Linked DNA regions of Diceros bicornis minor. The protein of the gene in region 1 interacts with the protein of each later gene in a biochemical or structural test. Links are inferred from orthologs where the notes say so. Each region holds a gene or a part of one and is shown on either strand. Other genes may lie near its edges.

Region 1 (3,744 bases):
TTCCTGCAACAGCCTCCCAGCTGGTGTCCTGCCACCCTGCTTGGCCCCACTCTTCCATTCTCTACACAGCAGTCAAAATCTCTCTGAAAGGCAAATCTGATCATGTGGTTCCTGCTGCCCTTAGGGTCAAGTCTAAATTCCTAGCATGGCTTATAAGGCCCTCTATGATCTCGCCTGTTGCAACCTCCCCAGTTCAGCTCATGCCAAGTCCCTCTATACTCCAGCTATCCTGAATCTCTTTCTAGCCCTCCACCATGGTCCCACTCTCTAGCTCTGTCTTTTTCGTATGCTACTTCCTATGTCTAGACCCTTCCCCTGGCTCCCAACTCTTTACCTGGCTAATTCCTACACATCCTTCAGGTGTCTGTTGAACGTCACTTCCTCTGGAAAGCCTTCTTCAATTCCCTAAACTAGGTTATGTGTCTCTCCCTGCCATTCCATTTCCTAGTGCCTACCACTCATGGATTTAATTGCTTGATCAATTGGCTATGGTTTCTTTTAAAATGTGAGCTGGAAAACCACGTATATTTTGTTCCTGCCTGTGTTTCTCACAATACGTAGAACAATGCTCACTACATATTTATAGAATCAAGAATGAATGAATGCATATTCCTATTCCTACCAGTAGAATCTGGAACTCCTTGCTAAGTTGTCTTAAGTGTGTGGTATTTGGGATGTGCTTAATAAGTGTTTGTTGAATAAATGGATGAATGAATGATCAGCTCTTTTCAAGACCATTTATTTTATTATACTTAAAAAAAAATTATCCTTGCTCATTTGTTTTACCATCTGCAAGAATTTGCTCTGGGAATAGTGGCAGCATGTCCCAATGTTTTAAGAAAATTGTTAGATGCAAAACAAAATCCCAAGGCTGGAGAATTCTCTTTACTAAGTTCCAGTGCTTGGTTTTAGCTCCATAGCCCTCCGTGGGAGGCAGCATGCCTGGGGAGGTCCTCCTGCTCACTCCCTGTATCCATTTTTCCTGGCCAGAGCCTGGCCACCCAGTGGCCCCACTGCCCCAATGGATCCACTGAACCTGTCCTGGTACGATGACGATCTGGAGAGCCAGAACTGGAGCCGGCCCTTCAATGGGTCCGATGGAAAGGCCGACAGGCCCCACTACAACTACTACGCCATGCTGCTCACGCTGCTCATCTTCGTCATTGTCTTCGGCAACGTGCTGGTGTGCATGGCTGTGACCCGCGAGAAGGCGCTGCAGACCACCACCAACTACCTGATCGTCAGCCTCGCGGTGGCTGACCTCCTCGTAGCCACGCTTGTCATGCCCTGGGTTGTCTACCTGGAGGTAGGTCTGCACCTCTGCCTTGCTCCAGCACCTTCTCCAGGAGGGCGCTACACTGGAGCTGGGGGCACAGCTCCTCGCTGGTTTCTACCAACAAGTTGCCTGGTGCTTTCTCAGGTGGCCTCTTCCTCCACTCCGGGCTCAGTTTTTCTGCTTATAAAATGGGTAGATTGTCTGCTTAACAATCCTAACTACCAGTTGTAGAGTGCTTCCTAAGTGCTGGGCCTCATGTTGACTCCTTCATAGTCAGCATTTCCCCATATAGTCCTCACAGCAGCCCTGAGAGGCTGGTATTATTATCGTCATTTTACAGATGGTGAGCCAGAGGGTCAGAGAAGTTAGGTGACTTCCCCAGCATCACACAGCTGGACGGTCCAAGCTGGAACTCTGTCTGACCCCAGAGTCAGTTCATTAGGTCATGTTGAAAATAGCAATAATTGATGAGGATCCCCAAGGAAGGGAGATGTTCATGCTTCCTGGCCTAAAGTCTTCATTCCTCTCTCCCCACTACAAATATGGGGGATGCTGCTCTGTGCTCTCCTTCTCCCTTCTCTCTCCCTCAGTTTATTCCAGTGCCTGTTTCTGGGACCTCCAGGTAGAGACCACTGTGAACAGTGCTGCACTCCCTGTCCTCAGGAAGGACCATATAGTTAACCATTGCTCAGCTCAGGACAGAGCCCGGCTCTGTGCCTTGGAGTAGTGAATGGGCAGCCCCAGCTACGGTCCAGGCACTGCCCCCCCCCCAACTATGGTCCAGGCACACCCCCAACCCCTACTCCATGGTCCAGGCACTGTGCCAGGCATTCTGCAGACACAGACTCAGCAAATATTCATGCTCATCCTGGGAGTCAATACTATTCTCACTTCACAAAAGAGGAAACTGAAGTTTTGCAAAGTTGCTTGTCTTCACCCAGATCACACCACAGAGGGAGAAACCGCTGACAGAGAAGTCCCTGAGAGTGGCCCCATCTTCAGGAGGACACTTTTCAGAGCAGGCAGGCAGATGTGGGAGGGTCTGGGGGATTTGGGTGGGCACAGGCTGGATCCTGCCCCTTTCTTTGCCCAGGATTCTAGGGTGGAGTCTGGGTGCATGGGAAGCTGACCAAACATTCAGGAAAGAGCCAAAGCGCCTGAGCAATTATCTTCCTGCCCTAGGCAAGAGAGGAATTCACCTGTGCCAACAAGGCAAGTCCCTGCCTGTGGGGGAGGGCTTCCACTCTTAAAAGAAAACGTGAAACCTTTGTAGGTTTGAGTAAAGGAGACATCTAGGAGAAGAAGCCGATGGGGGAGGGGAGGCTGGTCAGCAGGCACCTCTCCCTGTCTCCATACCCCAAGGGGCTCCCTGTGCTTCCTGTTGTCTTGACCAAGATGGCCCCAGGGAGCTCTGGGCAGTCACTCCCTTGATTTCCTTTCACACGGACCAAACAGGCTGGAACTTTCCAAGTGACATGATTGAATGTTAAGGAAGAACCAAAAGGAAACAAACAATAGATACAAAATAACATAAAGACATACAAGTGCCACAGTCCAGGGGTCCAATTCCTCCACGTCTTGCATGTTTATGAGGACTGTGGACTCTGTGCAGCCACGTCCTGTCTGAGGGCCTCGCCCTGAGCGGCCCCCTCTTAGTTCTTAGGACTCTTCCCTTCCTGCTCCCCTTCAAAGGAGGGTCCCAGGCCTCAGACCATCAGGGTAAAATGATGGGTGGTTGGCAGAGCAAACAACCTGTCTGTGCCTCACTTTCCATACCTGTATGATAGAGATAATAATAGCATCTACCTAGTAGCACTGTTTGAGAATCACGTGAGTTAGTATATGAAAAGGGCTTAGAATGGCACCAGGCGCGTAGTAAGCACTGTGTAAAAGTCAGCCATGACAATGGTGATGAAGGCGAAGTAGGTATCCACATAGAGGGGACCCTCCCCATGCCCAGGCTAAGAGGCACCCTCTTCCCAGAGTGAGGCATGCTCTGCCCAGGGCTCTGGGCATGGATTCTGGGCCTTCCAGACCTACCATCCCTACCCGGACACCTAGGGTAGGGCCAAATCTGTACATTCGGGCTCCTAGGAATCTGTAAGTCCTTCAAACAGATATTTTAAACATATCTGTTCCCCATTATTTTAAAGGTGAGGCTCAGTGTTTCAAGGGGCAGAGTGGAGAACAGCATCTCCGAGGGCAGTGCTCGAAGTCTCCCATCAAAACAAACGGACAGTAGGCCCTGCTTATAGGACATCGTCTCAGCTATGTATTGTCCCTAGAGAATGCTCCAAGTGGAGTCTCACCCTATCCCAGCATCCTGTCAAAGTATCCTCACAACCACATACTGTAGCCTCTCCAAGAGATGCTCTTGTCCAGAATTTTCCATCATGTTCCATTTCCAGCAATGTTGAATGCTTCTGATATCCTGCCATGTCAGCACCTGTCCAATGGGACTGGATGTG
Region 2 (3,744 bases), on another chromosome or scaffold:
CTCATACAGAAACACAGGGCCTAAGACCGGAGTCTGATGGATGCTAAGGAGAAAACAGAGAAAACTGGGAAGGGGATGGGAAAGGTCCCCCCATGCAGATGGGGGGCCAGGGAAGGCCATGCGGACCCCCCACCCCAATCCACTTGCCTCTGTCCATCCAGGTGGAGCCCTGACCACTGGCCTCGGCCTCAACTCCTGCCCGGAGCGCCCCTCCACGGGGGCAGAGAGGCAGAGAAGGCAGACGGTCCCCTGTCACCTCCCTGCTTAAATCCCAGAGGCCCAGCTCCTGTCCCCCTGGCCCTGGCCCTTCTCTCTGGCCTCGGATCACAGAGGCCCTGCGCCTGGAGCCCTGTGCAAGGAAAGGAGCCGTCCCTCCGGGTTCAGGCCTCCTTGCCTCCTCCGGGTTTTCTGGGCCTTGAACACGTTCCCACCCCCATCCCTTCCTCTCCCTGGGCTTGGAGGTCACTTTCCCCCGGGCGGCGGTAGGTGACCCCCACCAAACATGTGACACCGTGCGGAACAGTGCCCCCCGCCCCCGCCCCGTGAGGGCTGGGGCCCCGCCTGTCCTGTGCAGCGGCGCGTCCCCAGCGCCCGACAAATCCGTGTCGAATGAATGAATTTCGCCGGGCAGAGACTTGGCCTCGTTCACGTCAGATCTCCAGGGCCCGCCCCCGCCGTGGGGGTGCTGGGGCGCCGGGGATCGACTCCAGGGCGGGTGGCGGGGTGACCTCCCCCCTCCCCTCCCGCCCCGGACGCGGCGAGGCCGGGGGAGCCCCTCTGCGCCCGGGGGAGCCCCTCTGCGCCCGGCTCCCGGCTCGCGGGGCCGCCGTTCCGCGGGCGCAGGCCCGGCCGCGCGGGTGCGGGGCGGGAGGTGGCGCCGGGCGCTGAGTGGCGGCTCCGGGTCCACCCCTGGCGCGCCGGTGCGGGGGGAGCGGGAGGCGGGGAGCGCAGGGGCGGCGGCGCGAGGGAGCGCAGCAGCGAGCATGTGCCGCCGAGCCCAGTAACCAGGGACGACCGCGGCCACACGGCGGCCCGTCGGCGCCCAGCCCAGCGCAGCTCCGCGCCGCGGCGCCCGGAGAGGGCGGCGGCCGGACGGCCCGGGCCTGCCCAGCGGCTGCCCCGCGCCCCGGGCCCCGCGCCGCGCCCAGGGCGGCCGAGGCGCCGCCAGCCGTGCAGCGCAGCGCGCCGGAGCCCCGCGCCCGGGCCGCGCGGGCACGGCGCAGACAAAGGCGCGGCCCCGGCCCGCCGGCCCTCCGCGCGCCCCGCCCCGGCCCGCCCCGGCCCGCGCCGGCCGAGCCGCTCCCGCTGGGCGCCCCGCCGGGGTCCGGCCCGGGGGGCGGGGGCCGCGGCGACGAGGATGGGGAAGTCCAACAGCAAGTTGAAGCCCGAAGTTGTGGAGGAGCTGACCAGGAAAACCTACTGTGAGTGCGCGCGCCCGGACCCCTGCCCCGCGCTCCCCGGAGCTCCTTCCGCCCCCTCGCGCCCCTCCCCCAACGCGCGGTCACCCCCCCAAACCCCTCCTCCCCGCTCCGGGCCCGCTCGCCACCCCCCTCAACGCCGCCACCCTCCCTCGGTCGCTCACTGCCCCGCCCCCGCCCCGGGCCTCTCAGAAGCCCACGGCCGCGCCCCCAGCCCCACACCTGGCCCTATTGTTCTCAGGCACCCCCCACACCAGGGACGTGTGCCGCCCGTCAGCGTGCGCGGGGCCACCCCCAGGCCGGGAGGGAAGCCCCAGCCCACCCGCGGCCCCCTCTCTGCAGAGCTGTCGGGAAGGGCACGGGTGTGCAGGGGCGAGGGGCAGGGGTCCGGGGAGGGGGTGCCCGCTGGCGAGGTGGCTCCGGCTGCGCGGAGCCTACTGGCACGAGCGCAGCGGGGTGGGTGATTCATGCATCACGATGCCGCTTCTGCTGCCGCGAGGTTGGCCTGTCGCCCCCTCCCTGGCCCCGATCGTGTGTGGGGGGTGGCGAGACTTGTCAGAGAGCTCGTGGCAGCCGTGGTGGGTAAGGGTCCTGGGCGCCCTGTTGGCTGCAGGATTTACAGGCTGAGTTCTCCTCTGGCCCTGATCTCACCTCTGCCCTTCTGTCGCTATCTGCCAAACTGGGAAATGGGTTTATAGAGCCTGTGGGTGATCTGGCCGATCTCGTCGTTTAACTATCTGGGGCTCCCCTAGGGGGAGGATCTGTCCATTTTGGACTTCTCTAGATCCGTCCCAGTGTGTGTCCCTCCACTTGCCCAACTTCACAACTCTCCAGGCCCCTTGCATCCCCAATTTTTCCATGCCAGACTCCTCCCTTCCCTGCAGCCTCTGGGGAGATGCCCCAGCATGCCAGGGGTTAATGGCACTGGGTCCTGACCGCACAGTCTTTCTTTTGGGGGATGGGGTGAAGGATGGCATGGTGTGGAAGGTCTTCTGACTGGGTGTCTGACCTGGAAGGGGGCAGTGCCCCTGGGTTTGGGCTGGAATTCAGAACCCACACCTGGGCAGCTGCGTGGGTCCAGCCCCTCTGCACCCTCCCTGGAGGCAGCAGATTGACTGCCAGCCTCATGCGCTGATGGAGCCTGGGGAGGCAGCTTCTCGTGGTGCATTGCACAACCTCTGCTCCCCCTCCCCCCCAACTCCATCGGTCTTCTGGGCACGTTTGCAGGTCTGTCCAGGCCCACGCTTCAGCTCCGCGCCCCTCGCCCCCATGTGCTTGGAACAAAGAGGGCTTTCCTGAGTGGGTGCTAGTCTGCTGGGAGGTACTGGCCCTTCTCCAGTGGAATTCTGCAGCAAGGAGCTCATATCCCAGGAGCTGCTCCTGGAAGGGGTGAGGCTGCGAGAACCCGGGACTCTGTCCTTGCTGTTCTTACCCCGTTTCCGAGGTGGCTGGGTGGCCCTTCCCAGTCTGGCCGTCGTTTTGTGAGATTTGCTGGGCCTTCCTTCAGGCTCCGTCCAGAAGTGGCCCCTAGCTGTCTGCCAGCAGGCTGCAGGTGGGACTTCCCGGGCCCCTGTGCTCGGGGAGGCAGAGGGCGCCATGGGCGTCGGCGGGAGTGGTGGGCATGGGCTGCGCTGGGGTGTTTCCATCATGGTGGAGCAGGGGAGCCACCTGTGAGCCGAATGGAGCAGGTTTCCTGCTTGTCAAGCATGTCACACACCGAGCTCTTTGCATCATTAGCACATTGAATCCTCGCAACGGCCCTGCGCTTAGTGGGCGCTGTTACTCTCCCCATTTACAGATGAGGAAACTAAGGCTCAGAGGGGCCAAGCGGTGTGCCCAGCATCCAGGACTTGAACTCAGGTCTGTCTGTGTCCAAAGTGATGCCCCTTGACCTCAGAGCTCACGCCGAGAAGTCAGGAGGGGCTTTTCTTCTGTGCGTCCCTTTCTGGTTTCTGCTAGAAGCCCGTTATGGTGGCTTCTGGATGGGAAGGGGCCTGGAGTGGTCATTGTGTCCACTCCCCTCCCTCCAGGCAGATCTGTCAACTTTGGGAGAAGTGGAGTCCACAGGCTTTGTTGGGAATTGGCCCCGTGGTGCCGAGCTGGGCTGGGCTGTTTTTAAAGGCCTTTGGAGACCTGGAAGACCTTCCATCAGGGAGCTAGTTAGCCCGGTACGTTTCCTCTGTGGAGCCCTTATTAGGGGCGGGCTGGTGGAGGTGCTGCTGGGTTCATTTGCCTCCTGTCTGTCTCCCTGGCTGATGCCGGCTCCCTCAGTGCACGCCCTTGTCTGTTTGGTTGTGTGGGCACATAGGAGGTCCACAGGTATTTG

Evidence for each region.
Region 2: the proteins of DRD2 (region 1) and NCS1 form a complex in vitro, tested with the Homo sapiens proteins (2 studies listed by BioGRID, with this or other methods). The link is inferred for Diceros bicornis minor from reciprocal best matches to the Homo sapiens genes DRD2 and NCS1.

Annotation. Positions count from the first base shown.
Region 1 is NC_080746.1:22,931,053-22,934,796, forward strand, and holds the start of DRD2 (D(2) dopamine receptor), read left to right. Parts: upstream 1-994; 5' UTR 995-1,021; coding exon 1,022-1,306; intron 1,307-3,744. UniProt on the Homo sapiens protein: Dopamine receptor whose activity is mediated by G proteins which inhibit adenylyl cyclase. Positively regulates postnatal regression of retinal hyaloid vessels via suppression of VEGFR2/KDR activity, downstream of OPN5.
Region 2 is NC_080767.1:37,657,127-37,660,870, forward strand, and holds the start of NCS1 (neuronal calcium sensor 1), read left to right. Parts: upstream 1-874; 5' UTR 875-1,357; coding exon 1,358-1,421; intron 1,422-3,744. UniProt on the Homo sapiens protein: Neuronal calcium sensor, regulator of G protein-coupled receptor phosphorylation in a calcium dependent manner. Directly regulates GRK1 (RHOK), but not GRK2 to GRK5. Can substitute for calmodulin. Stimulates PI4KB kinase activity.